4 linked regions of the Elephas maximus indicus genome follow. The protein of the gene in region 4 purifies or fractionates together with the protein of the main gene of each other region. This does not show direct contact. Links are inferred from orthologs where the notes say so. Each region holds a gene or a part of one and is shown on either strand. Other genes may lie near its edges. The genes, in order: SNRPA, U2SURP, DDX42 and SF3A2.

What was found.
Region 1: the proteins of SF3A2 (region 4) and SNRPA fractionate together in Homo sapiens (co-fractionation; 3 studies listed by BioGRID and IntAct, with this or other methods). This does not show direct contact. The link is inferred for Elephas maximus indicus from reciprocal best matches to the Homo sapiens genes SF3A2 and SNRPA.
Region 2: the proteins of SF3A2 (region 4) and U2SURP purify together in Homo sapiens (affinity purification with mass spectrometry; 3 studies listed by BioGRID, with this or other methods). This does not show direct contact. The link is inferred for Elephas maximus indicus from reciprocal best matches to the Homo sapiens genes SF3A2 and U2SURP.
Region 3: the proteins of SF3A2 (region 4) and DDX42 purify together in Homo sapiens (affinity purification with mass spectrometry; 3 studies listed by BioGRID and IntAct, with this or other methods). This does not show direct contact. The link is inferred for Elephas maximus indicus from reciprocal best matches to the Homo sapiens genes SF3A2 and DDX42.

The regions. Positions count from the first base shown.
Region 1 is NC_064829.1:110,909,082-110,916,381, forward strand, and holds the start of SNRPA (U1 small nuclear ribonucleoprotein A), read right to left. Parts: upstream 3,014-7,300; 5' UTR 2,905-3,013; intron 2,473-2,904; 5' UTR 2,451-2,472; coding exon 2,378-2,450; intron 1-2,377. Other genes in the region: ACTMAP (UPF0692 protein C19orf54 homolog), read left to right, coding at 4,019-4,329, 6,365-6,433, 6,937-7,061. UniProt on the Homo sapiens protein: Component of the spliceosomal U1 snRNP, which is essential for recognition of the pre-mRNA 5' splice-site and the subsequent assembly of the spliceosome. U1 snRNP is the first snRNP to interact with pre-mRNA.
Region 2 is NC_064841.1:16,832,629-16,839,657, reverse strand, and holds the start of U2SURP (U2 snRNP-associated SURP motif-containing protein), read left to right. Parts: upstream 1-4,027; 5' UTR 4,028-4,085; coding exon 4,086-4,130; intron 4,131-7,029.
Region 3 is NC_064837.1:54,986,730-54,994,615, reverse strand, and holds the start of DDX42 (ATP-dependent RNA helicase DDX42), read right to left. Parts: upstream 3,007-7,886; 5' UTR 3,000-3,006; coding exon 2,920-2,999; intron 834-2,919; exon of another isoform or gene 662-833; intron 1-661. UniProt on the Homo sapiens protein: ATP-dependent RNA helicase that binds to partially double-stranded RNAs (dsRNAs) in order to unwind RNA secondary structures. Unwinding is promoted in the presence of single-strand binding proteins.
Region 4 is NC_064821.1:2,911,165-2,918,562, reverse strand, and holds the start of SF3A2 (splicing factor 3A subunit 2), read right to left. Parts: upstream 3,002-7,398; 5' UTR 2,917-3,001; intron 1-2,916. UniProt on the Homo sapiens protein: Component of the 17S U2 SnRNP complex of the spliceosome, a large ribonucleoprotein complex that removes introns from transcribed pre-mRNAs.

The sequences.
Region 1 (7,300 bases), on a different chromosome or scaffold from region 4:
CGGGAAAGCTAGACAATGCAAAGGAAGACGGAAGAAGAGTTGACGCCTTCAAATTGTGGTGTTAGCAAAGAATATTGAATATATCGTGGACTGCCAAAAGAATGAACAAATCTGTCTTGGAAAAAGTGTGGCCAGAATACTCCTTAGACGCAAGGACGGCGAGACCGCGTCTTACATAGTTTGGACATGTTGTCAGGAGGGATCAGTCCCTGGAGAAGGACATCATGCTTGATAGAGTATGGGGTTGGCGGAAAAGAGGAAGACCCTCAACGAGGTGGATTGACACAGTGGCTGCGACAATGAGCTCAAGCATAACAACAACTGTACGGATGGCACAGGACCGGGCAGTGTTTCGTTCTGTTGTGCATAGGGTCGCTATGAGTCGGAACCGACTCGACGGCACCTAACAACAGATACTAGAGGATGGGTGAAGGAAATGTGTGTGTACCTGTTTGGGGTGGGGGGATGGGAGCAAGGGTGTTTTGAAGCAATTAGCCAGAAATTCTTTGTGACATTTCTAGTTTTCATCTCTTACCTTTTGTCCTCATGCGCCTAGTTTGAGGCCCAGGCATTCCACTGGACTCAGGACCACTGCCTAGCCTCTAGCCTCCCCTCCTGCCCACTCCAGTTCACCCTTCCCAGCTGTGAGGATTTTTCACAACCGACAACTGACTGTGTCCCTTGCATAGCTCTACAATGCCTTCAGGATAAGCTCACCAATTCATTCAGCCCAGAAGGCCCCGAGAGCCAGGAGTGCCTTGCTCATGGGAAGCTTCAGCCACACAAAACTACTTATAGTTCCCAGAACATCCCAGGCTCTTTTGTCCCTAGGTAGTTATATAGCTGGTCAAAGTCATGAATACCTTTCTCCCTCACCAAATGCTGCTTCCTCAAGCTTTGGAGGGCTTCTACCAAACCCTGGTGGCTAGTGGTCAAAAACAACAGCTGCTAACCAAAAGGTCAGCAGTTTGAATCCACCAGGTGCTCCCCGAAAGCCATACAGGGCAGTTCTGCTCTGTCCTATAGGGTCACTATGAGTCGGAATTGACTTGATGTCCAGATTTGGGTTTTTTTTTTTTTTTGAAACTAAATGAATCTCTGTCCTTCTACATACCCAACCCCCTCCCCTTACTCATCCTGGCTGTATTCTTCCACCTGGGCCTCTCCCCACCATAGCCCTGATCCTCTGACTTGTCACAATCAGATGACGGGTCTGTCTCCTCCACTGGACTGTGGCTCCAACAGGGCAGGGCCAGGGCTGACTTGCTCCCCATGGTGCCCTCAGCACCTCACCACCTAGCATGGCCAGGCGTGATAGTTTAAAAGCATGTGCAGAATCTACATTCCTTGTTTTGTTTTTTTCCAACAGCAACTTTATCAGTAACCTCAAATTTAATTCCAGCAGCTCCTTTGTGATAACAACCAACACCTACCTGATTCTTCCTACCAAGTACCATAAAAAGCACTGCATGGAGATTTAGCTAATTTAATCCTCACAACATCCATGCAAACATGGTATTATGATCTTGCCCAGTTTTCAGAGCCCTGGTGGCACAGTGTTAACAGCTCCGCTGCTCACCAAAAAGGTTGGCAGTTCAAATCCACCAGCGGCTCCTTGGAAACTCCATCGGGTAGTTCTACTCTGTCCTATAGGATCACTATGAGTCTGAAGTGGCTTGATGGCAATGGGTTTTTGGGTTAGTCCAGTTTTCAGATAAAGAAAAAAGTGGGATTCAGTAAAGGGGACAACTTGCTTGAGAAAATAGAAGAGTCTATACAATGTCAAGTATGTTCTTAAACAGAACTCCAAACTGGTGGCCTCAGCTACTTTCCCTGCTGTGTGACCTTGGGCAAGTCAAGTCACACTTGAGTGTCAATTTTCTATCTGAGACACAGGATTAACAAAAGCTTCTTCCAGCAGGATTGTTAAATGGAAATTTATGTAAAAGTGCATAGCTCACCACGTGGTACAGAATGTTCCGTTACTGTTGCGTATTTTCATTGTGGACTGGTCACTGAAAACATGACAGTGACCTAGAGAGCTCCAGTCCCTGCCCTCACAGAACTCACAGGTTGGTGGGGAGACATGACAGCCCAGAGTGATCAGGACTTGATGCCCAGGGCCTATAAGTCAGAGGGAGACACCTGGGGGAGGAATGGTCCTGTGAACTGAGACGTGAAAGACAAGCAATAGTGGCCAAGTTAGCGGGTAGGGCGTGGATCAACTAAGGGAGTGTTAAAAGTCAGAGGACGCAGCATGTGCGAGGACCGAAGGGTTAGCTCTAACAGGCAGGCTGGAGTAGACAAAGATAGAGAAGCGATGGGAAGGGCCAACTCGTGCGGTACAGCCCAGCGCTTGGGCCACTGGAGAACTCACCATCCTTCTTGATCTTCTCGTTGAGATTGTTGATATAAATTGTGTGGTTGGGGCGGGTCTCGGGAACTGCCATGGAGCTAGATGCCGAGGTAGGGCTAAGAAAAGGAAAAAGGGAACTTCACGCCTGGGTTTTTCTAAATCCTTTGCCCCAACTCTAGTTTAACGGACTGCTCACGGATCTTCCTTCCCGGAAAAAGTCAGTTTGGGCAACGCGGCGGGGGCAGAAACCGCTTCTAATCCCCGCGTGCTAAGGGAAACCTCGAGAGGTTTACTACGAGTCCCAGAATGCTCTACGCGACCCAGTAGGCGGGGCGTCCTACATGGCGATTCCTATTGACTCACACGCCCAAAGGGCGGCCCAGGAGAAAACACCCGGATGTAAAACCAGTTAAGGAAGGGGAGACAAATTTGGGGCATCCTGGGCTCATGCAGCGGGAAAGTTTCTCCAGACAAGATGCGGGAGAGTCCGAGCTCCATCTGCGCCACCCGCCCGTCGCCGATGACCGCCTGTGACCGAGATTACTCACCGACCGGACGGCAGCTCCCACAAGTAGCGTCTCCTGAGTTCCTGAGGTTGGACCACAAAGCTTCCTCCCTTGACCCAGCCTTTGCCTTCCCGCAAGCCAATCTCCGCGTGGAAACTTGGCAGTTTGACCAATCAGAGTAAATTTCACCTCCCTCACCAATAGCTTGCCAATCAAAACGACACTTGGGTTCCCGCCTAGGGAGAAAACCCCGCCCCAGCCTGTGTGCTTCCTAGGCCGCCAGATGCCTCGGGGCGTACGGACCAATCAGTGAAGGCTACGCCCCCTCACGCGCTCCTTGCCAATCGAGACGCGGCTCGCTCTGCAGCTTCTTCCGGCGAGGATCCTTTGATAGCCCCACCTCTCAGCCCGCACTGCCATTTTCTACCACGTGATTGCCGAAGGGGCGGGCATAAGTTGCGAGTTCTACCACGTGACGTGAGAAAACCTGTGTGCGGCAGCCGCCATTTTGCGAGGAGAGGAGGCGGGTGTTTTCCAACTCCGTTCATTTTCCACGGGCATCGTCGCTCTTTCCGGCCTCCCGGAAAGGCTCAGAGCCTTTCCCAACTCGCAGACTTTGTTTCTCAGTTATTCCAGGACCCTGTCTACAAGTAGGCAGTTTTCTCTACCCAGTGTCCTTTTTGACCTCTGGCTCAAAGATCAGCTCAGAGGTTCGAACTTCGGCTTGGGGGTGGGGGTGGGGAACAGAGTCTAATTACCCCAGTCCTTAGCTCGAGACTCCTAAACCCCACGTGTTAGGCGCTACACCCCAAGATTGAGGCCCGTTATCCCGAAATTTAACTCATGAGTTTCCAAGTCTTGACCTGGACAAGTTAACTCCTAATCTCCTCCCCTCTCGTCCCGCAAACCAACCCGCCCCAGCCCCATACTAGCGGATGTGAGATTAAAAGACCCCACCCTGTTAACTCTCAGATCCTCGACTTGAGCCTGCACAAGCCCTGCGTCCACCTTGTTCGTTTCCCATTGTTCTGCTCCCATGTTCTAGGACTCAGCTGTAAAACCTTCGTAATCCCCATCTCTGCAGCCAACCTTAAACAGCATTTTGAAGGATCCTTCCCCTTCGCATTTCCACCGAGCTGCTCTCAAGTACTCCGAAATGACTTCTCCATGCTCATCTCTAGAGCCCCCAGTCCTTCCTCCCAGCGCCCCTACACCCCAGGCCTCCATTCCACCTCTCGTGCCTCCAAATTCCCCGGATGTAACTTTTCTACCCATTTCCTCGAGTCTCCAGACCCCTTTTCCCCCACCACCCCCACTGCCGCCTCCACCTCCTGCTTTGGGGCTTGCTCCCCCTCACGTCTTCGGCATGGAAAAGAGCCAGCTGCTGAAGGAGGCCTTGGAGAAGGCCGGCCCAGTCCCCACCGGCAGAGAGGATGTGAAGAGGCTTTTGAAGCTGCACAAGGACCGGTAGGGTCTCCTCTTCACCCACCCAGTCATCTTACCAACTACCTGTCCCAGATCATTTTATCCTCTTCTTGGGGTTTCCTGTTTGTCCTCAAGGTCAAACAGCCTGGTCGGACCAGTCCCCTACTGAGCCCTCCGGTGGTGGTATGGCTCCATCAATGAAGAAAGGTCCTGCCATCACAAGTGCCTAGTCCAGTGGAGGAGGCAGACTACCCACACCAAACAGTGACAGCCCAGAGTGGTCAGGGCTGTGATGGGGGAGCCCAAATGGGGCACCTGACCCAGCCTGGGGACAGAGGGGGCTTCCTGGAGAAGGGGAACCTTGAGTGCTATTGAGCAAGTCTTGCAAGGGGTGCATGATGAAGAGCAAACGGCTCATGCAGAGGCCCAGAGTTAAAGGGGAGCATGCTGTTTTAAAGAAATTGCAAGCATTTCCTCACTGAGACAGGGAGGTGGCAAAGGGGGACAGGAGCCAGATCACACATGAGGTAGCAGGGTGGGCCATGGTAAGGGGGCTGGACTTTGCCCTGAGGGCTCTGGGGAGCCATAGGAGGAACTACTTACGCTGGATGAGGCTACCTGTGACACGTAGATGGTAGGTGGTAAGACTAGAGTCAGAGCCCAGGGAGGAAGCTGGAGGACCAGACTGGAGAGGAGGGGACCAGACCAGGGTTGAGGTGGTGGGCAGGGGAAGGAGGTGAAGAGGACCCAGTTGAATGATTGCCTGGCTGACAGGAATCAGGGGAACTGACTTGTCCAGACTCAGAAGAACTTTCAAGCTCTTCTTAGTTTATAATTTGTCTTAAATGCCCCAACCATGATGAGGTTAATTAAACACAAATAAAATGAGCTCGTTATTGTGTCAGGCACCTTTCTCTAATGGTTTTTAAGTATTGAACTATCTAATTCTTTTAGCAATCTAATGAGGTAGAAGCTATTATTGTGTTGTTTTCCAGATGAGAAAACAGGCTCACAGAGATGAAATCACCGAGCTGTAGAATTAAGAGAAAGGGCCCAAATTGAACCTGGGCAGGGTGGCTTTGGAAACCCTGGTAGTATAGCAGTTAAGAGCTAAGGCTGCTAACCAAAGGGTCGGCAGTTCGAATCCACCAAGCACTCCTTGGAAACCACATGGGGTAGTTCTGTCCTGTAGGGTTGCTATGAGCCGGAATTGACTCGACAGCAACGGATTTTTGGTTTTTAGGTTGGCTTCGCACTTTAAACCACTGTGTTGTAACATCATCTCTTTTTTGGTCAGGAGCCCTGGGTTCCCCTTCAGCCTCTCTCTCTTACTGACTCTGAGATGGAAATGAAGACTCTGGGGCTCTGCCCTCTCCTGAGCCCTGGAGGGAAAGGAGGAGGTTGGGATCACCAGAACTTTTCCCCAGGCCTCCCCAGGGGGAGGAAAGGGGGGGCTGGTCAGACACGTAAGGACTTATTATTTTAGGCCATCAGCCTAAATTTTTCGGGATTTAGGTGACCATTTAATTTCACCCACGTTAAAGGATTTTCACCTTATTTAACAGTTTAAACGTTTGACTGCGAACCAAAAGGTTGCCAGTTCAAATCTACCAACCGTTCCTTGGAAACCCTATGGAGACAGTTTTGCGCTGTTCTATAGGGTCGTTATGAGTCAGCATTGACTCAGTGGCAACAGGTTTGGGTTTTTTTTAAAACAGGGTTTAGCTGTAGCGGCATGTCTTTGAGGAATTTTCTCTAATCTGTGTCCCTGGCTTCTAGTTGCATGGCTTTTGCATATCTGCTCTTTGCCTCCTCAGTAACTGAGAAGGAGCAGAGAGCACGCAGGGGGAAGGATGATTCCCGCTGGCCAGAGGGGGGAACAGGCTCAGACAGGGCAAGGGCCTCATGGGGGAGAAGGAAGTCAGTGATGCAGCCAGGAGCCACCCTGGGGCCTTAGAATGGCCTGGCCTGTGTTTCCTTCCTGTGTCCTTGTATCTTTGTATGCTCTGCCCCCACCTGGACCTTGAGGGGCCCCTCGGAGCTGATCCTGCCTGACCCGAGTGTGGCTCTGATTCAGTTTCAGAAGTGACCTGCAGTGGATCCTCTTCTGTGCTGATCTGCCGTCCCTCATCCAAGAAGGCCCTCAGTAAGTTCTCTGACCCAGGACCCCACCCCCTTGTCCACCCTGTACTCTGAGCCTCTGCCTGTGCTGGGCTTACCCAGAGGGAGGCTGGGACAAGGCCCCAGCGACCTGGGGAGGGAAGGGGGGACCTGCCAGGACACGGTCTCGGGTGTGTCCATAGCGAATAGAGATTTGGAATGAATGAGTGAGCAAATGAAGAAACTGACGGGTGAAAAGACGAACCTGGTCCATCCTCTCTAACCCCATACTGGCACCTTGTATTCCAGGAAACCCATGTGACGTTTCTCCCTGCCCACCCCTTCATCTCTCCAGCCCTAGGCTCAGGCCTTGGCCATTCTCTGTCCCATGGTGGGGAGTCAGGTCTCCCCATCTGGCCTGGGAGAGGGGAGGAGAACTCCCCCAAGGCAGCAAACCTGATCCCCACACTCCAGCTTCTAGGCAGAGGGGGCCCAGTAACAAAGTGACTTAGGGATTGAGGGGCTGGGCCCCTGCCTGTCTCTCCCCAGGTGCGGGCTAGTGGCCTTGTGGATGGCAGGCACTCTCCTGGCACCCCCCAACGGTGTCCCCTTGGAGAGACTGATGCAGGTGGCACTGGAGAGAGGCTACACCGCCCAGGGGGAGATGTTCTCTGGTGAGCTGGGAGCAGGAGGGTCTGCAGCTGGGTCTTCACTCGGAGAGGCCAGGGGTAGCACTACCAGGTGCGGGACAGGCTCTCATGCCATCCCTCAGCCCTTGTCGCACAGTCGGGGGGAGTGGTCATGAGGTGGACACTAGGTTCCCAACCCAGCTCTGCTACCTCCATGCTGTGTGGCCTGGGGCAAGCTGATCACCCTCTCTGTGCCTTATCTTCTGTGTCTGTGCAAAGGAGTT
Region 2 (7,029 bases), on a different chromosome or scaffold from region 4:
TGAAGGGTGAGCCTCAGGAGTGACTTCATTACTGAGCTGAAAAGGTGTTGGGGGCCATACTCACAGGGCTTCTCCTGTCTCTGTCAGGCCAGCAAGTCTGGTCCTTCTTTTTGAGTTAGAATTTTGCTCTACATTTTTCTCCAGCTCTATCTGCGACCCTCTATTGTGATCCCTGTCAGAGCAGGCAATGGTGGTACCCGGGCACCATCTCATTGTACTGGACTCAGTCTGGCAGAGTCCATGGTAGATGTGGTCCATTAGTCCTTTGTACTAATCTTTCCCTTGTATCTTTAGTTTTCTTTGTTCTTCCTTACTCCCAAAGGGGTGAGACCAGTGGAGTATCCTAGATGGCCGCTTACAGGCTTTTTAAGACCCCCAGACGCTACTCACCAAAGTAGAATGTAGAACATATTCTTTATAAACTATGTTATGCCAATTGAGCTAGATATTCCCCATGATCATGGTCCCCACAGGAACTTGATACTCTCGATGAAGAGTAACTGGCTGTTAATGTATGGGTCTGTTTCTGGAATTTCAATTCTATTCCATTTATCTATATGTCTATTATTATACCAGTACCACACCATTTTGGTTACTGTAGCTTTGCAGTATGTTTTGAAATTGGGAAGTATTTTTATTTTTCAAGATTCTTTTGGCTATTTGGTGTCCCTTGCAATTCTGTATGAATTTAAGGATTGGCTTTCTCATTTCTGCAAAAAGTCCTGTTGGAATTTTGAGGGGGACTGCAAAGAACCTGTAGATTGCTTTGGATAATATTGCCATCTTAACCACATTAAGTATTCCAATCCATGAACACAGGATGTCTTTCTATTTATTTAGGTCTCCTTTAAAATTTTTCAGCAATGTTTTATAGTTTTCAGAGAACAAGCCTTTCACCTCCTTGGTTAAATTTATTCCTAGGTATTTTATTCTTTTAGATGCTATTGTAAATGGTATTGTTCTCTTAATTTCCTTTTCTGGTTGTTCACTGCTGGTATATAGAAACCCAACTGATTTTCAAATTTTGATCTTGTACCCTGCAACTTTGCTGAATTAGTTCATTAGCTCTAGTAGCTTTCTTGGAGTCTTTGAAATTTTTTATATAGACCATGTCATCTGTGATTATAGTTTTACTTTTTCTTTTCCAACTGGGATGCCTTTTCTTTTTTTTTTAGTGTAAAAATGGTGTGACAGGAGTGTCAGACCTCCTCATCTAACTTCACAAGGGGAAGAGAGAATCATTATCAGCACCAACAGACCAAGGCTGATTCCTACGAGAAGGCAGACATACCTCCTCTCTTCAACCTTTTTAGTAATTCTGACACCAGCCATCCCTCCCACGGCAATCTCTACTTCTCTGCTGGGTTCGATAATTCGTTGCAATGGCCACACAAAACTCACAGACAAAACTCACAATCATGGGGTTTATTAGGGAAGTAAAAACAAAAAACCGGTTGTCATCCAGTTGATTCCGACCTGTAGCGACCCTAGATAACGGAGTAGAACTGCCCCATAGGGTTTCCAAGGAGTGGCTGGTGGATTTGAACTGGTGACCTTCTGGTTAGCAGTTGAGCTCTTAACCACCGTGCTACCACAGGCTACAAATCAGGATCAAAAGTCACTCAGAATATAGCTCTTCAGTCAGGACAGTCTCTTCTCAGCCATGCCTGCAGGCAGGCCTCTCTTCCGGCCCTTGGCCCCTCAGCCCCCGGCACCTCAGGCTGTCCTCTGCCCTGCTCGGGCAAGTGTTACACATCTCTTTAGCTTCACCAGTAACTGCCCATGGGCATCCCACCCTGCCAGTAAGCCTCGGCCCAGAGGCACTTGCTTGCTCTTCCTCCGTGGGTTGGTAAGCCTAGCTCTGCTGACAAGTGCACGGAGGCACCCCACTCGGTTAGGAAGCCTCCTGCCTGAAGGCATTCAGGTCTCTCACTCTGTAGGTGGGCAAACCCACTGTAGCTGCCTTGCTCTGGGGGTGAAGAAGCCTGCGGCACTGTCTCATGCCAGTCTCCTGGTTCTGCTGCTGCCGGTTCTCTGCTGCACTTGCTGCTGCTTCTCACCATCTTGCACCATTTCCAGTGTTACAGCTCTCTGTAACAGGGATCCCGGGTCCAAAGGACATGCACCACTCCTAGCTCTTCTTGGTGGTACAGGGTCCCCTGCTCTCTGCTCACATCTCTCACCTTTTATCTTTTATAAGATAAAACGTGTGACTCAAGTAAGGGCATGACTTGAAAAAGGATGGTAGGGTAGTGACTGAGGTAAGAGTGGTGACTTAAGTCACATTCTCTAGTAAGGTGGTGACTCAAGACACATCCCACCTTAATCTGCCTCGTTAATACAACAGACAACTCACTCCCAAATGGGACCACAACCACAGGCACAGAGGCTAGGATTTACAATACACCACCAAGTAGAGGCTAATTATAGCAATCACAAAATGGAAGATGATTACATCATTACATAACTGCCATAACATAACATGGTCCAGCCAAGGTGACACATAACCTTAACTATCTCTGGTTCCACATGCCTTATTTGCACAGTCTCACTCAATCACTGTGTGGGAGTCACAAACTATGGCTAGAAGGGCCATATTAAGTAATTCATGTCACCACACTAGGACTTCCACTACAACGTTGAATAGCCGTGGTGAGAGCAGGAGTCCTTGTCTTGTTCCCCATCTTAGTGGAAAAGCTTTCAGTCTTTCACCGAGTATAATGTTAGTTGTGGGTTTTAAATTTAATGAAGACAGTACATTTTTACTCGTCTTTGTAAGCCCCACAACACTTTGCACAGGGTTTTGTAGAAAACACAAGGCTCAAAAATATTTTGAATGAATTAGGGAACACGGTTCCCTGTCCCTTCCAATTCTCCTGCACCCCCAATATCTTAAGTTGATCTTCCCGACTTAAATCTGTCTTCCGCTATGCTCTGAGCAATCTTTTAAAATGAAAATCTGACCATATTACAGCCCCACTTAACCCTATTGAGGGCGACGCTTCATCCTTAGAATATAACTCTTAACTCCTAATACAGGGTTCCTGTATGGTTATCTCGGCATCCTGTGTGAACTTGCTCCCATTCACTTCTCCAGCCGCGTCCCCCTAAGCCTCTTGGTTTAATAAAACTTGACTGCTTGTGGTGCCCTGCAAAACGGGCTGCAGTCATTCATGCCACAAAGCTTTTATTCCAACTGCTCTCTCTGCCTGGAATGTCTTTACCACTTTCCTTGCCTGGCTTGGTTCCAAGCATGACCTTCTCAAGCAAGCTTTCCTTCTGCGAATCCAGATCCCGATTTAGAACTTTCAAAAAGTCCTAAGTACCTAAAAAATTTATGGCGCTCCCCCATTTATGTGAATAACAGGAAAACAGTACAGAACAGTAGATTTACATGTATGCTAGATTGAGAATACCGTCTTTCTCTCGTTCATCCTCTCTCTGCTCGTGTCCATTTTGCAGGCGCCCTAAACAGTCAGTTTACCTGGTAACCGCAATGCTGGATTCCCGAACTGGGTCAAATGCCCCTCTTCTGGGCTTTCCAGGCACAACTCTAGCTCAACATTGACCATTTTAAAGTAACGTGAGCAGATGCCAAGTTTGCCTTTGCCAGTGGGGTGTGAGCTCCCGAGGAGGCGCGAACTGCGTCTTTGTTCACTGAGCGCCAGACTCCCAGTTGGCTTCAAACCTATTTTTTGAGTTGAAATGAATGCTCCTCCCAGATGTTCAGTGCATTTCTCTTTAAGGAGCGGCTCCCTCCTCGCCTGGGAAATACAACCGGCTGGCACCTATTGAGTGTTGGCCCTGGGAAAGGAGTGTGAGATATCAGTTGGTCCTGAACATCAGAACAAGGAGATTCTCTCCTAAATTCACTAGCACAACAACCCTGTCACAGAGACACAGACAACAACCCGTGGAAAGACTGACCCCGGAAGTCACGTGACTCGGCCCCGCCCGGGCTCACTACCTCTTCAGTCGACTACTCAGCCTTGCAGGCGCCTCAGGCGGGCTCTGCCGAGATCTGCGCTTTCGGTGCTCGACTCTCCTGTGCTGCTGCCGCCGCCGAAGGAGGGGCAAAGCTCAAGATGGCGGACAAAACGCCAGGCGGCTCTCAGAAGGCCAGTTCAAAGGTAATTTCTTAGAAGACTTCGTAAGTCAGTGGCTCTGTCGCTGTCGTCTGGGGCCTACAGACAGTTCTGGTCAGCGGGAGGCGAGCGGGTTGGGGGTGTGCGTTCTGGTCGCAACGGTAGGCCGGGGCGCCGCCGCACCGTGGTGCGCATGTTGAGAGGCCTGGTGTCGCCCCTAAGCCCCAGCCTGCACTCAGCTCGACACTGGCGGGCCCGGGGGGACGGCGTAAGTCCTTCGGCCCGCGTTTGGCGCTGGAGTCAAACCAGGAAGTCACAGTGAGGTCCGAGACCTGTGAAAACGCGCCCCTGTGTCTCAGGTTGTTGAGTCTGAGGCCGCCGGACACAGCAAGGGAGAGGCGGGAAGCGTTTTTCGGGGCTTGTGCCTGCGTCCCTTTATCTTGGGTTCTTTAGCTCAGATCATTCCGGCCTTCCTCAGTTTCCCTCGTGTCCTCCAGGGAATAAATAACCTCTAGGGCTGCCTATGAGGGGAGGGCTAATAGTGGAGGGACGCGGGTGGGAAGTGCAGAGGCGGGAGCACTTTTCCTTTGCAGTGCTGCACCGCCAAGGTTAATGCTACACGCTACACGTGGTCTTTACCTCACTTTAGAGGAAGTGTAAAATGAGCACTTGTTTTTGAGGGTCCAGGATTTGGCTTCGGCTTCATCTCCATGTTGTGTATTCTACTGAAAGGAGAGCTTCCGTAGACTTGGAAGCCATCTAAGAGTAGTAATTTGCATTTGGTTTTACGGGAACCCTGTTCGTATACTGTGAAACCAAAGTGCTGTAGAGGAGTAGTTTGTTGTCAGTAAGGTTGTAGTTAACGTCAGATCCTAGTTGCCATATCGGGCAGGGCATTTAATCGTTTTTTTTTACTTTGAGTTTCTCGTCTGGAAAACATGTTGAAAGAAATAGGTATTTACTGACACGAAGTTGTTGTGAAGCGTTTTGATGCTGATGCAAGAAGTTGTGTAATTCTTGAAAGTTCTGGGGACTGTTAACACATCTAAACTGTGTATGTGGTTGTAAGTCGGTTAACAGGTTTACGTTTGCCTTGACAAACTGGTTATGTTACCAAAACAACCCGTTTTATACTTGATTTCTCAGTTTCTAATAAATGTGAATCTTCATGCCGTTTGGTGAATGATGCTCATAATTAGTTCATAATTACTTATAACTTTACTAGTCAACCTTTACCAAAAAAAAAAAAAAAAAAAACTCAAAAAAGCAAAAAAAAAACCCCAAACCCGTTGCTGTCGAGTCAATTCCAACTCATAGCCACCCAAGAGGACAGAGCAGAACTGCCCCATGGGGTTTCCAGGGAGCACCTGGTGGATTCGAACTGTTCACCTTTTGATTAGCAGCTATAGGTCTTAACTACCGTGCCACCACGGTTTCCAGTCAACCTTTAGTTTAAAAAAAAAAAAAAAAAAAAATTTTTTTTTTTTTTTTTTAGTTATGTAAAAAAGTATGGTAGAAGGCCAGTTTTGGCTGCATTACATCAAGGAACCCTGTGTCAGTTCCTCCTCTCCCCAACACACTTCCCCTGTCTTGTGAGGGAGAGAAACAGGTGTGTACCTTACTCTTCTGCCCACTCTTCCCCTTAACAGACTCATGCTAAAAGCAGCCCATTTTGTATTAAGGAGCCTTAGTAAAGCAAGCTGCTATTATATTATTGTTAGACCAGAAAAACCAAACCCACTGCCGTTGAGTCGATTCCGACTCATAGCGACCCTATTGTTTAAAAAAAGTGCCTTCAAATCAGTTCTGACTCATAGAGACCCTGTGCACAACAGAAGGAAATACAGCCTGGTCCTGCACCATCCTCACAACTGTTTCTGTGTTTGAGCCCACTCTTGCGGCTACTGTGTCCGACCATCTTGTTGAGGGTCTTCTTCTCTTTCACAGACCTTCTACGAGGAATAATGTCCTTCTGCAGGGACCGGTCTCTTTTGATAACATGTCCAAAGTACGTGAGATGAAGTCTCACCATCCCCGCTTCTAAGGAACATTCTGACTGTACTTCTTTCAAGACAGATTTGTTTGTTGTTTTGGCTGTCCATGGTATATTCGATATTCTTCGCCAACACCATAATTCAAAGGCATCACTTCTTTTTCAGTCTTCCTTATTCATTGTCCAGCTTTCATGTACGTTTGAGGCGATAGAAAATACCAAAGCTAGCTACATCCATAGTAATGTTTCATGCATACATTTCACAATTTTTGTTTCTTGTTGAAGTAAGTATCTCTTATTTGAGGCCTTGGACACATTAAAAACATTTCAGTGTACATGTTCAGGCTTCCTTCTCAAGGTTGTGTATGGCTGTATAAGTTATTGAGTATTCCAGTAATAAAATTTTTTTTAGTTTATGTCACTTTAGGTTATCATCTCTTGATGCTGTTCATAGATTTTTATCAATGTCTGTAAAGGGAATCAATATCTCAGTAATCAAATGATGTTGACATGATTTTTTTTCCATTAATATGGCTGTTGTTGTGTGCCATCCAGTTGACTCTGACTTGTAGCAACCCTATCAGATGAAATAGAACTTCTTTGTAGTGTTTCCTAGGCTGTGATCTTTATGGAAGCAGATCGCCAGGTCTTTTCTCCAGCAGAGCTGCTGGTGGGCTCAAACCACCAGACTTTCGGTTAGCAGCCAACCGCTAACCGGGGCCCTTCATTAATATGGAAGCATAGCATATTGGAAAGGTTATGGAGTTTGATAATAAACAAGAGTTTTGGATTTGAATTCTGGCTTGGTAACTAGCTAGATTTTGTGATGTTAAGGCAAATTGCTTAAACTCTTGAGCTTCAAATTTCTCCTGTAATACGGTAGAATATGGATATAATCTCTCTCCTTTTTTTAAACAGGGTCGATGTAGGATTAGAGGAGTTAATATCTGT
Region 3 (7,886 bases), on a different chromosome or scaffold from region 4:
CATGTTTGGTAAAGGGCCAATGAAAATAAGGGAAACCCATGATGAGACCGAATGACACAACAGCCACCATGATGGACTCTAACAAACCAACTATCATGAAGATGGCACATGACCAGGCAAGGTTTCGTTCTGTTATACTTAAGGTCTCTATGACTCAAGGGCAACTAACACTAACAACATCACTGAGGTGTTCCCTAAAATATCCATTTAGCCTTTGGATAAGGACTACAAAGTACCCATGATAGCGAAGGAGAGATACCAGTGTCTGTGTGTATAGAATCAAAGTATCCATAGAGTCAGTTTACAAACAGAACCTTGAAACTCTTGATGCCAAAAAAAAAATCTTAATTACACAAGTTATCAAAGTTTCTTAGAAAAACAGAAAACTCAGAAAGCAAAAAGGAGCAAAATCTAAAATTTTGTGTTTTTACTTGAAATTTCTTCTCCCAGGTATGTAATTTTGTTGATCTCTTTCCCTATTTTTTTTCTATGTACATGCGCCTAACAATGTGTATACACGAAAATATATAACTAAAAAAAAAAAAACTGAAACCATACTGTACAGTTTTAGTGAGCTGATTTCATCTACTCATACACTGTGAATGTCTTTAAATGTCAATAAGTATATCCCTCCACTACTGCCATACGCTGTGAAACATACCTGTATACCACCACTGGTCTGTCAGTTTTTCGTACTACGGTGGGTTGTATGTTGTTGTAATGCTGGAAGCTATGCCACTGGTGTATCAAACACTAGCAGGGTCACCCATGGCGGGCAGTTTCAGTGGAGCTTTCAGACTAAGACAGACTGAGAAGGATCTGGTGTTCTACTTCTGAAAAAAAAAAAAAAAAAAAAAAAAAACTGGCCAGTGAAAACCTTATGACAGCAGTGGAACACTGTCTGATACAGGAGCCGGAAGGTTGGACGGCACTCAAAATACAACTGGGGAAGAGCTACCTCCTTAGAGTCTATCTTAATGCTGTGAATGGAGTAAACTTTTGGGACCTTCATTTGCTAATGTGGCACAAGACTCAAAATGAGAACAGCAAGCAAACATCCACTAATAATCGAAATGTGGAATGTACGAAGTATGAATCTAGGAATATTAGAAGTTGTCAAAAATGAAATGGAACCCATAAAGATCAATATCCTAGGCATTAGTGAGCTGAAATGGACTGGTATTGGCCATTTTGAATCAGACAATTACATGGTCTACCATGCTGGGAATGAAAAACTGAAGAAGAATGACATCCCATTCATTATCAAAAAGGACATTTCAAGATCAATCCTGAAGTGCAACACTGTCAGTGATAGGATGATATCCACACACCTATATGGAAGACCAGTTAATACACCTGTAATTCAAATATACGCACCAACCACTAATGAGGAAATTGAACATTTTTAACCAACTTCTGTAGTCGAAATGGATCAAACATACCATCACAGTACACTGATAATTACCGATGACTGGAATGTGAAAGTTGGAAACAAAGAAGGAGGATCAGATAGGTGGAAAATAAGGCATTGGTGACAGAGACGACACTGGGGATGGTATGATAGAATTTTTTCAACAACATAAATGGTGACTATACATGTGTGCCTTGCCCAGTGGAATACAAAGGAATCAAATCGACTACATCTCTGGAAAGAGATGGTGGAGAAGCTCAGTATCATCAGTCAGAACAAGGCCAGGGGCCGACTGTGGGACAGACCATCAATTGCTCATATGCAAGTTCAAGTTCAAGGTGAAGAAAATTAAAACAAGTCCATAAGAACCAAAATATGACCTTGAGTATAACCCATGTGAATTTAGAGACCATTTCAAGAAAAGGTTTGACACACTGAACACTAATGACCAAAGACCAGACAAATTTTGGGATGACAACATACATTAAGTAAGCAAAAGGTCATTAAAAAGACAGGAAAGAAAGAAAAGACCAAAATGGACGTTAGAAGAGACGCTGAAGCTTGCTCTTGAATGTAGAGTAGCTAAAGCGAATGGAGGAAATGATGAAATAAGAGTTGTACAGAAAATTTCAGAGGGCAGCTGGAAAAGGCAAAGTATTACAATGAAAAGTGAAGACACCCAGAGTTAGAAAACCAAAAGGGAAGAACACACTCAGTATTTCTCAAGCCTGAAAGAAGGAAGTCTCAAGTTGCAATATTGAAGGATTCGATGGGCAACATACTGATTGCTGCAGGAAGCATCAAAAGATGATGGAAGGGATACACATACGTTCGACCATTTCAGGAAGTAGTATACGATCAAGAGCCAGCTGTACTGAAGGAAGAAGTCCAAGCTACACTGAAGGCACTGGCAAAAAACAGGGCTCCAGGAACTGACAGAGTATCAATTGAGATGTTTCAACAGATGGATGCAGTGCTAGAGGTGTTCACTTGTTTACGCCAGGAAATTTAGAAAACAGTAACCTGGTCAACTGACCAGAAGAGATCCACATTTGTGCCCATTCCAAAGAAAGGTGATCCAATGCAAATGCGGAAATTATCAAACAATATCATTAGTGTAACACTCAAGTAAAATTTTGCTGAAGATTATTCAAAAGCGGTTGCAGCATACATTGACAGGGAACTGCTAGAAATTCAAGCCAGATTCAGAAGAGGACGTGCAATGATGGATATCACTGCTGATGTCAGATGGAACCTGGCTAAAAACGGAGTACACTAGCAAGATGTTTACCTGTGTTTTACTGACTATGCAAAGGCTTTCAACTGTGTGGATCATAACAAATCATGGATAACACTGCCAAGAACGGGAATTCCAGAACGCTTAATTGTGCTCATGAGGAACCTGTACATAGACCAAGAGGCAGTCGTTCAAACAGAACAAGGGTGTACTGTATAGTTTCATGTCAAGAAAGGTGTGTGTCAGGGTTGTATTCTTTCACCATACTTACTCAAACTGTATGCTGAGCACATAATTCGAGAAGCCTGGACTATATGAAGAACATGGCATCAGGACTGGAGGGAGACTCATTAACAACCTGCAATAGGCAAATGACAAAACCTTGCTTGCTGAAAATGAAAAGGACCCAAAGCACTTACCGATGAAGAGCAAAGACTACATATAGCCTTTAGCATGTATTACACCTCAGCATAAAGAAAACAAAACTTTCACAACTGGACCAATAAGCAACATCACAACAAACAGAGAAAATATCGATGTAGTCAAGGATTTCATTTTGCTTAGATACAGAATTAACACCCATGGAAACAGCAGCCAAGAAATCTAACGATACATTGAATTGGGCAAATCTGTCACAAAAGACCACTGATCTAAGCCATGGTATTTTCAATCACCTCAGATGCAAGCAAAAGCTGGGCAATGATTGAGAAAGCCTGAGGAAGAACTGATGCCTCTGAATTATGGTGTTGGCCAAGAATATTGAGTATACCACGAACCATAAGAAGAACAAACAAATCTGTCTTAGAAGTACAGCCGGAACGCTCCTTAGAAGTGAGGATGGTTGAGACTTTGTTTTACTTACTGGACACGTTATCAGGAGGGACCAGTCTGTGGAGAACATCATGCTTCATAAAGGAGAGGATCAGCAAAAAAGAGGAAGACCCTCAACGAGACGGACTGACACAACGGCTGCAACAACTGGCTTAAACAGCAACGATTTTGAGGATGGTGCAGGATGGGCAGTGTTTGATTCTGCTGTACATGGGGCCGCTATGACTCCACAGTACCTAACAACAACTGTTTTATGTTGTGAAACATATCATTATACCTGTATCTTTGTGAATACCCGTAATTATTGCCTTAGAATCAATTTTTAAAATGCAACTACTTAGTCAAAAGGAATATTAGTAATTAAAGTTTTAGAAAGTTTAATTACTACTTACACCTATGGAAAAGTATCTACTATACGCTGAGTAAAAGAAGTATAAAAGAAGGTAGGTGGTATGATCTAATTATGTAAGATCATGTGTTACAAATGCAGAGACAGCTGGAAAGCTGTTTATCAAAATGTTAGTGGCAGTTATTGTTGACTTTTACTTTTTCCCTTGTGTTAAAGTTTACGATTAATAATAATTAAAATGCTTACAATGGGCTCTGAAATCCACGTGAACAAAAAAACCAAACCCGTTGCCAGGGAGTCAATTCCAACTCACTGCAACCCTATAGGACACAGTAGAACCGCCCCCACTAGGGTTTACAAGTAGCAAGAAGTTCCAAAAAACTGCTTTATTAAGGTGTATAAAGCATTTAGAGATGACACTGTTGCAGGGACCAGAAAAACATGCTGTGTACTTTTCTGGTTCTACATCCCTCCCCTATATACAGGTTTTGTTTGAGTTGCCACTATATAGCACTTGAAAACTCTGTTGGCATAGCGGTTAAGTGCTACGGCTAATAACCAAAAGTCTGGCACTTGGAATCCACCAGGCGCTCCTTGGAAACTCTATGGTGCAGTTCTACTCTGTTCTATAGGGTCGCTATGGGTTGGAATCGACTCAACGGCAATGAGTCTTTTTATTTTATATAGCACTTTGTTCAGTCTGCTTAGTATTAGATTTCAGTTACACGGTGTTTATCTTCATCCTTGGAAACCCTGGTGGTGTAGTAATTAAGAGTTTCAGCTGCTAACCAAAAGGCCGGCAGTTTGAATCCATTAGGTGCTCCTTGGAAATCCTATGTGGCAGTTCTACTCTGTCCTATAGGGTCGCTATGAGTCAGAAGCGACTCGATGGCAACGGGTTTGTTTTTTCTTTTTTATCTCCAGCCTTAGACTGAGAGCTCCAGATAGGAACTGTCATTACTCAACTTGGACTTTCCGTAACAGTAAGCACCCTACAGTAGGTACTTAGTAAGTACAGGAAACCTGTGAGAGCCAGAACTTGACAGGACTGCCTTGTTTTTCCAGGTCTCGCAATTTTTCACCTTTGACATGGTGCAGTCACCACTTTTCTATCACTTTCTAAAAAAAGACTCGTTGCTGTTAAGTCAATTTGAACTCGTAGCGACCCTACAGGACAGAGTAGAACTGCCCCATAGAGTTTCCAAGGAGCACCTGGTGGATTTGAGCTGCCAACCTTTTGGTTAGCAGCCACAGCACTTAACCACTACGCCACCAGGGTTTCCCGTCACTCTCAACTTAGTGGAAACCAAGTTTTCCTTCTCTGACAGGTTTACCTGTTTTACAGGTTTTACTGCACTAATTTGCATTTAACTAAGGCCATCTGCTAATTTCTTTAAAAATCCAGTAAGAGGAATGAACATAATTCTAGTGAGATGAGATTTAGTAAGAATATTCACAAGCAAGAAAATTTCAGCATCTGATAATACTTAAGCCTGCTTTTACAAGAGCTGCTCCTAAGCACCCAAAATGATGGACTAACCTGTTTTCCCAGTACATACCATGTAGAATGAGGGGCTAATAAATGAACTATAGAAATCAGAAGGCAGGCAAAGAAGGGATGGTGGAAAGACGTTCAGGTTCAGATGAATTAAGAATAGTATGAACAATCTTTAAGTGAAAAGGAAAACTTCCAATGATTTACTGGAAGCCTGCTGCAGACGGTCAGGCAGTGTACTAAAGATAACAGTCCCTGTTCTCCCCATGAGTTCACAGTATAATCTTAGCCAACAGCTACAAAACAAGGTGAGTGTTCTAACAAAGGTACTGCACAAAATGCGTTCACTGGTGGCTCAGGAGAGAGGAAACAACACAGGCTGAGTGGGGGGAAGGCATGGAAGTTTTCAGGAGATGACACTGATGCTAAGTTTTGAAATTTGAAGAAGCATTAGGCTAGGGAGGAAGTATTCGAGGACAGCATTTTTGTTTGAGGGAACAATAAGTACTACTACAATCAGAGAACTGGAAATAGTTCAGTGCAACTAGAGTTCAGTAGGACATTTGGGAGAGCTACACGACACGTGTCCAGAAAGACAGGCAGGGCCCAAGTGGCCAGTTTGGTATTCTATACTAAGAATATACAAAACAATATTCTGCTGGCCATAAGGCATATTTTTAAGCAAAATGGAGAATTCTTCAGGTCAGTGCTTTAGAAAGCACAGATGAGACAGCAGGAAAAGCTGGAGGCAAGGAAAGTGATTATAAGATTACTAACAGAAGCAGGGAAGCCCTGGTGGTGTAGTGGTTAAGTACTACAGCTGCTAACCAAAAGGTCGGCAGTTCACATCCACCAGACGCTCCTTGGAAACTCTATGGGGCAGTTCTACTCTGTCCGATAGGGTCCCTTTGAGTCAGAATTGACTCAGGGCTACGGTTTTTTTTCCCCCCAATGGAAGCAGGGATTCATACAAATACTAGTACACCAATGCTCACTGCAGCATTATTCACAACAGCCCAAACTGGAAACAACTCAAGTGTCCATCAACAGATAAATGGATAAACAAAATCTGGTATATATACATACAATGTTATTCAGTCATAAAGAGAAGTTCTGACACATACTACAACATGGATGAACCTTGAAAATATGCTGAGTGAAGTAATTCAGACACAAAAGGATGAATGTTATATGATTCTAGTTATATGAAACATCTATAACAGGCAAATGCAGAGAGAAAAAAGGTTATTAGCGGTTACCAGAGGCTGGGGGAACAGGGAGTTACTGCTCAAGGGGTACTGAGTTTCTGTTTGGGATGATGAAAAACTTGGAAATAGTGGTGATGATAGCAGAACACGGAGAATATAATCAATGTTACCGAATTGCACTCTTAAAATGGCAAATTTTTTTTATTATTTATAGTTCACCACAATAAAATTAAAAGAGAGAGAGAAGTCAGGTAAGCAGGAGAACTAAAAAGCCTCTATTGGCTGTACACCAGGCGTCATCAGGGAAAGCAGTCTCAGTGGAGCAGCAGGGCAGACCCTACCCTGCAGGGTTGAGAAGTGACTGGTATGTACGTAGACGGTAAAGAGGAATACTGACGGTGGGGGCATTAACAGAGCAATTTTGTTTTTTTAAGAACTTTAAACATGTTTATAAGCAAAAGCCAACAGAGAAATATTGAAGATGGGGGGGGGGAGGCGGCAGCAGAAAACTCACAGGAACAAGGTCCTTGAGGTGACCCAAAGAGGCAAGATCGAAACCTTTAACAAGAAAAGCAAGTGACTCTTCCTCCTCAGCTGGAGGGAAGGAGCAAAGGATGGGGCAAAGAGACAGACCACCACCTTCTGTCAGTTTGTCATACTGTGGTAGCTTGGGTGTTGCTATGATACTAGAAGCTATGCCACCAGTATTTCAAATACTGGCGGGGTCACCATGGTAGACAGGTTTCAGTAGCGTTTCCGGACTAAGACAGACTAGAACGAAAGACCTGGCGATCTACTTCAAAAAACTGGTCAATAAAAGCCCTATGGCTCACAACAGATTATCATCCGATACAGTGGTCGCACCAATGTACTCCAGTATACCAAGGATTATGAAGATGGTGTAGGACCAGACATGGGGTCACCATGAATCGGAGCCCACTCAATGGAAACTAATAACAACAGATACAGATATATTAGTCCTACTGAACAATCAAAAGGCTCATATTACAAAAGAACCAAACACTGGGTTTTAAAAATTCAACTTGTGACACAGACAGGCTGTGCAATCTGGGGCAAGTGAGGGCTGCTTAATGGCTCTCAGACTCAGCAAGAAGCAAAATGAATATATCCAATACCTTTTCCTATACTCTTCAGAGATTTGGGTCAACCAAAAGAAAACCGAAGGCCCCCAGGTCTTTCACTGGTAGATGCAGAACACAGTGCCCATCCACCTAATTTACTGTCTCTAGCAAGGACAAACAACTGTGTCTTCTGTGTATCTTACTGCGTGGTACAAATGGTTAATGCACGTGGCTGCTAACTGAAAGGCTGGAGGTTTGAGTCCACCGAGAGGC
Region 4 (7,398 bases):
AATACTGGTCCATTTCCGCTCACTAACACATATGATATCGATCTTTATGCATTTCATTTTTGACGACTTCCAATTTTCCTAGATTCATACTTCATACATTGCACATTCTAATTATTAATGGCTGCCTGTAGCTGTTTCTTTTCATTTTCGGTTTTGACACATCAGCAAATTAGTGTCCCCATTAAGGTCGACTCTACTTTGAGGAGTCAGCTCTTCTCAAGTCATGTTTTGAGTGCTCTCCAATCTGAGGGGCTCATTTTCTGGCAGTATATTATACAATGTTCTATAAGGTTTTCACTGGCCAGATTTTTTCAAAAGTATATTACCAGTTCCTTCTTCTAGTCTGTCTTAGTCTGGAAGCTCCCCGAAACCTGTCCCCCATGGGTGACACTCCTGGCATTTGAAATATCAGTGGAATAGCTGCCAGCATCACAGCAACATGCAAGCCACCACCGTACGACAAACCCTCATATGAGTGGTGGAGGATCAGTATAGGAATACACAAATAGATCCATTGGAAAAAAATACATAGCCCTGGAACAGGCTCACCAACTTATATGAAGAATTGTCTAATCACAGAGGAAGCACACTACAGGGCACTGCCAGAAACTTCAGGCACTTTAATATGTGGGGTAGAGTCAACTAATTATCTAACTGGAACAATGAATGTATTCCTCCATACTCCACATGCAAAAATAAATTCCAAGTAGATTAACTTTAAATGTCAAAATGTAAAATAACACGTTCAGAAATTATAAGCACAATTTCATGACATTAGTAGAGAGAGGAAAAAAAAAGACACAAAGGAAGAGATTGAAAATTCAATTATATTAAAATTTAGGACTCTATCGAAGGAAGCAAAAAATGAGTGAAGACCATAAGTTACATACTAGGGAAAAATTTTCCAATGAAACTATATTTTTCCAAACTCTATAACGAAGCCCTAAAAAGTCACAGAATGGCAAATTTACAGTGGGAAAACACGCACAGCCTTGTCACTATTGCAGTAGTGCAAGATCACTGCAGAATAAACTCAAAGTAACATACGATTTCATAAGCTTTACAAAGCATAATTTAATATATTTGAGAATCCCCATGTTGGCCAAAACAAATGGAACAGATAAAATACATATGCTTATTTTGTGGAAGGGAAAATGGGTAGAGAACACTGTAATTTCCTGATCAATTTAAATTTGGCTATGATCTGCAACTCAGCCGTTTTCCCTCAGTTGGAAGTTACTGTGCATTTAGAGCACGGAAAAAGAATGAACAGAGCAGCACTATTCACAAAAGCAAAACCTAAACTTGAAACTTTAACAATGCCGGGAATGACAAATTGAAGAGGAATGACATTGCATCAGGATTGGAGGAAGATTTATTAACAACCTGCATTATGCACATGACACAACCTTGTTTGCTGAAAGTGAAGACGACTTGAAGCACTTAAACTGATGAAGACCAAATATCATAGCCTTCAGTATGAATTACACCTCAACATAAAGAAAACAAAAATCCTTACATCTGGACTATAGGAAATATCATGATAAATAGAGAAAAGACTGAAGTTGTCAAAGACTTCATTTTACTTGAGTCCACAATCAACATCCATAGAAGCGGCTGTCAAGAAATCAAAAGACACTGCATTAGGAAAATCTGCTGCAGAAGACCTTTTTAAATTGTTAAAAAAACAAAGATGTCACCTTGAAGACTAAAGTGTGCCTGACCCAAGCCATGGTTTTTTCAATTGCTTCATATGCGTGCAAAACCTGGTAAGTGAATAACAAAGACTGTAGAACGATAATCAATGCCTTTGAGTTGTGTTGGTGATACTGAATACACCATGGAGAGCCAAAAGAACAAATCTGTCTTGGAAGAAGTACAACCAGAATGTGCTTCAGAAGGAAGGATGGCAAGACTACCTCTCACATACTTTGGACACGTTATCAGGAGGGATCAGTCACTAGACGACATCATGCTTGGTAAAGCAGAAAACCAAAACCAAACCTGATCCCGACTCATAGCAACCCTACAGGACAGAGTAGAACTGCCCCATAGAGTTTCCAAGGAGCGCCTGGTGGATTCAAACTGCCGACCTTTTTCGTTAGCACCCATAGCTCTTAACCACTGTTACCAGGGTTTCCTTGGTAAAGCAGAGGGTCTGAGAAAAAGAGGAAGACCCTCCATGAGATGGATTTACACAGTGGTTGCAACAATGGCCTCAAGTATGACGACTGTCAGAATGACACAGTATTGGGCAGGGTTTTGTTCTGTTGTACATAGGGTCGTATGAGTGAGAATTGACTCGACGGCATCTAACACCACCACCAATAAATATTTTCCACCTAAAGTGGAGTAACTATGGTCCACAATGAACTTGCTAGTTCTATTCGTGTTTCTTACTACTTTATCTATGCCAAAATCCTATAAAATTAAAAAATCAAACCCCTGCCATGGAGTCAATCCTGACTCACAGCAAACCTATCTGGTAGGATACAACTGCCCCACACAGTTTCCAAGACTGTAATCTTGACAGAAACAGATTGCCCCATCTTTCCTCTGCTCAAAGGGTGGTGGTTTAGAACTGGTGACCTTTCAGTTAGCAGACGAGCGCGTAACCACTGCGCCACCAGAGCCCGTTAACAAACCAGGGGAGGGGGAGACGCCTCCCAACAACCTCGCTTCCTTGAGAACCCCCAAGAGCTTCCCAACAGTCCTTGCCGGCGGGGACGCAGGCGGACGACGGAGCCCGGTGCGGGGCGCACTCAGGCGGCGGCAGCGGGGCGCGCACAGGCTAACTCCCCGGGCCTGTCACCCCGCATTCCTCACAGACTCCCGGCGACGCGGACACCCCTGGTCTCCGCCCACGCACGGCCTCACCTATTAACGCCCCGACACACCTAGGCCTCGCCCCCCTACCTGGCCGTCCCGACGCGGCGGGCGCGGGACTCCTCAGCCGGGCTGGGAGAGCACAGCGGCCGCTTCGCTGCGCCGCCGGCCGAGGCCCAGGCCCCGGAGAAGAGGCAGCGCCGGCAGCGGGAGGCTGCAGGCCAAGTCCGGCTACGGAGGCCCCGCGGCCCGGCACCATCCGGAACCCCAGCGGGCCCCCCCCGCGGACCTGGTACCGGGCCAGGCCGGACGCCGGCGGCGCCACAGACGTACCTCACGCCCCAGCCGGCCGACCGCGAATCATGGCTGCCGGCCGCGCACGCGCACTTCCGCTTCCTGCGCTGAGCTCTCGGCGGGAGGGGCGGGGTGCCGGCGCGGAGGCAGAGGGCTCCGCCCAGTGGTGGGCGCGTCCGGGACTTGGCTTTGGATTTGGGGTCTCTGTCTCTTTATCCTCCATAAACAAAAGCTTTAAAGCAAACACCGTTGACAACTAGTTAATCCTGACTCATATCAACCCTACAGGACTGAGTAGAACTGCCCCAGGGGTTTCCAAGGCTGTAATCTTTACCGAAGCACACTGCCACATCTTTCTCTTGTAGAGCCGCTGGTGGAATCCAACTGCTTAACCACTGCGAATACAAAGGATTCAAATTGACTACATCTGTGGTGGAAACAGATGATGGAAAAGCTCAATATCATCAGTCAGAACAAGGCCAGGACTGTAAAACACCACCAATTGCCCCTATGCAAGTTCAAGTTGAAGGTGAAGAAAATTAGAACAAGTCCTATGAGAGTATGACCTTCCTTACACTCCATCTGCATGTAGAGACCATCTCAAGAATAGGTCTGATGTGTTGAACACTAATGATCAAAGTCCAGATGAGTTGTGGGACGACATCAACGAAGTCCTACATGAAGAAAGCAAGAGGTCACTAAAAAGATAAGAGAGAAAGTGAAGACCAAAATGGATGTGAGAACAGACTCTGAAGTTTTCTCTAGAATGGACTAGCTAAAGACAAAGGAAGAAATGATGAAGTAAAAGAGCTGAACAGATGATTTCGAAGGTCAGATTGAGAAAGCAAAGTACTACAATGAAATGTGCAAAAACCTAGGGGAAGAACATGCTGGGCATTTCTCAAGCTGAAAGAATTGAAGAGAAAATTCAAGCCTTGAGTTGGAATATTAAAAGATTGTCGTTATGCTTGAGCCCATTATTGCAGCCACTGTGTCACTCCATGTGGTTGAGGGTCTTCCTCTTTTTTGCTGACCCTCTACCATGCGTGATATCCTTCTCTGGGGACTGGTCCCTCCTGATATCATCCTTGAAGAATGTGAGACGAAGTCACACCATCTGCTTCTCTTGAAGGATACTGTAGGCAAAACACTGAACAACTCAGGAACCATCAAAAGAAAATGGAAGGCTGTAAGGTAATGCTATTCAGCTATATGCATACCTCCTAATGGAATCAGCTTTGCTCTTCCCCGAAGCATGCTGGGGATGAATTCAGGATGGACTCAGGCTAAGGTACAACGGTGGGAGTGGCATGACTGGGCCAGCGGCCAAGCATGAGGAATGCCTTAGCAACAGGAAGGAAAACATCTGGGCCTGGGCGTGAAGTCCCTGGGAACACAGACTGCCCAAGAACGTGGGAGAAAAACAACGAGCCTTGGTCCTAGCTGGAGTGGTACATAAGGTTGGGTTCCTTGCTAGGTGGTTGCAGAGCACTGAACTGGGCCAGCTGCCGTCCCTTGCTAGGTGGTTGCGGGGTGCTTAACTGGTCCAGCTGCCGCCCTGAACCACGGTCCCATAAGTAAGCTTCCCAAATAAACCATACATATGTCATGATCACTGGTTCCAGAGTCTTTCCTAGGTCTCTTGGAGATGCAGCTAACCTTGGGTTCAGGTACCATTGGGTTGTTATCCAACAATTGGCAAGCCAGCCAGGAGACTGAGGAAACCTCCATGAGTGCTGGACATATGGCAGGGAGAGGGACCTTGATGGTAGGAATCCCTGGATGGCCCCTGTCCTCCATATATGTGGCGGGGAGGGGGGGTCGTGGCTATGGATACCTGGATCCCACCGCATGAGTACGGGGACGCTCCAAAAATGCCTAAGGGCATTGAAGATATGCTGTGTCAGCTGGAGTCCCCAAAGCGAAAGCCAGATGGCCATGCTGAGGCGGCTTGTGTGGGGTGGCTTCTACTGGCAGCGCTGAGAGGGGCGTCCGATCCCGAGCCAGCCGCTAGGGCCCTAACTAGGCAGCTGGAAGCAGAGCTGCAACTGGAGGGTTTGCGGGCAGCATACTCCTCCTCCACTGAAACATTAGTGCCCCGTTTGCAGAAGCAAGAGGCATTTTCGGGGGACATCCTGGGGTGGCCAACGACCTCTATGTGGGGAGGTCTGGCCCGTATGCTTTTCTGTGGGAGAAATCCTGGGGTGGCCAGCCAAGCCTGGCTAGCTCAATCGGTAGAGCATGGGACTGGAGCTACTTGGAGGGGATAAACAGGTCTCTGGCGCTGAGAACGCCCTGTAACACCCAGTGCAAAGCAAGAGTTAAAACAGCAGGGAAAAAAGAAAAAACAGGAGTAAAAAGCCCGTCAGGATAGCTTGTGTTGAGCGACCTTGAAGAGACCTCAGAATTCTCTGACAGCTGCCCCCACCAAGGTAACTGAACAGCAACCTAGCTGTAACTGCAATAGTAAGGGGAAAACTAAAAGAGGGGGCCCACCTCCAGGTTACCAGGTAACTGGGCTGGACCCATGCTTGCACTTGGTGTGATGGAGGTGTGGCCCCATAAATGAGTGAGGGCTCTGCCAACTTTTCCCAGATCTTTCAGAAATAATTAAGATTGAGGATTAAGCCTAATTCCTTTGTTACCAACGAGGAGCAAAGGCCTTGTGTTAAAATTAAAGTCCAGTGAGGTATACTTTGGGTCTGAGGTCACTCTCACTGAGACACTTACCCCAGCCTGACTATGGAGAAGTCCCTTGGAGCCCCTACAAATCCTTACTGCATGTACTGATGATGTCGATGTATTAATGCACACCTTTGTAGACTTTTGCCTCCAAGTCCTGATGGGAATTGCTGCAGTTAGGGCCATTTTTAGAGGGGCACGAGGAAACTGTGACATGGGCTATAGCTAACAGCCTGGCCATTCAATCTGGCCACTGAAAACCCTCGGACTGACATATAAAGCAATCCCCTACAGAGATGAGACATCTGGACGAAATAAATAACAAAAGCAGTCCTGCTCCTGAGAAACTTTTGTTACTTGTGTGGATAGTCATCAGAAAAGCCCCTGTGCTGAGAGTGGAAAACAGCCAACGAGCAGACCGGTCTTACCAGCTGACTGCAGAGGCTGAAGCATTGTCTGCTCCCGGGTGAAGAGATGTGCAGTCAACCACCTCCTGGATGTAAGAGAGAACCATCCATGGAGATTCACACACCATCCTAGACGGGGCCTACATACATGGACTGCCACTGCCATCAGAAAACGCTGGACAACACAGAAAATCTGACCTGCCTACAAGACCCTGGCCAAGACTAAACCTGTGCAGGGACAGATTCCCGAGCCAACAGGCCAGGGTGTTCTCAGCAGGCAAGTCATATCAGGGCATTTTATCCCATATAGAGGCTTCCACTGGATCTTCAATGAACTCGTCACACTCTTTATCACCCCAAGACGTAGGGGCAAAGGAGCACTTCAATGGACAGGTTTAAATGGCTGATGGGAGGGGACGAGACAACCCCAGCCTGGACCATGCATCTCAGACAAGCAGTCTGGGGTCTCAGTGCAGCAGTTCCCTGCAAGGGCATTTCTTATTTGTGCCGTATGTTTGATCAAACTATCTATTCTATAAAATGTGCGTCTTTGGTGTAAAATTGTTCCTGACAAAAGATCTGGGTTCCACAAAGGCACTGACCAGAGCCCACAAGAGGAGGCCAATCCTATGGCTCCCTCTGCCAAGGGGTGGGAATTTCCCTCACCCCTAGACTAGAGGTGTGGCCAAGGTGCACCACAGGTGCGGGAAACCATCTGCTGGGTGACAGGGGGCCAGAGGCCACACACTGAAATGATCATACTCTGGACCCCCACTAACGAACATGTTCTGGCTCTGGTAGACACTGGAGCAAAGTGCATCCTGATGTATGATAACCCAGGTAGGTTTAAAGGGCCACTAACACCTATTGATGCGTACAGGGGTGGGGCTGTCAGGGTGTGCCAAATTAAACTAGTGCTGCAGATTGGAAGGCTACCCCTAAAGGTCTACCAAGTATACAGAGCCCCAATACTGGAATACGTTCTGGGCAGAGATACCTTGTTGAGGCTGGAGCTGCAGACCTCCGGTGAGTTCTACCTGCAAGTGAGAGCCATAAAACCTGTAGTACAAGGTAATGCTAAATGGTTCCCTGTGCAGTTGCACTCCCCAGCTCTGGTCATGGCCCTTAAGCAGTACTGCCTCCCTTGCAGACACTGAGAAATCACTGAGGCCAGGTGCTACACCCAGTG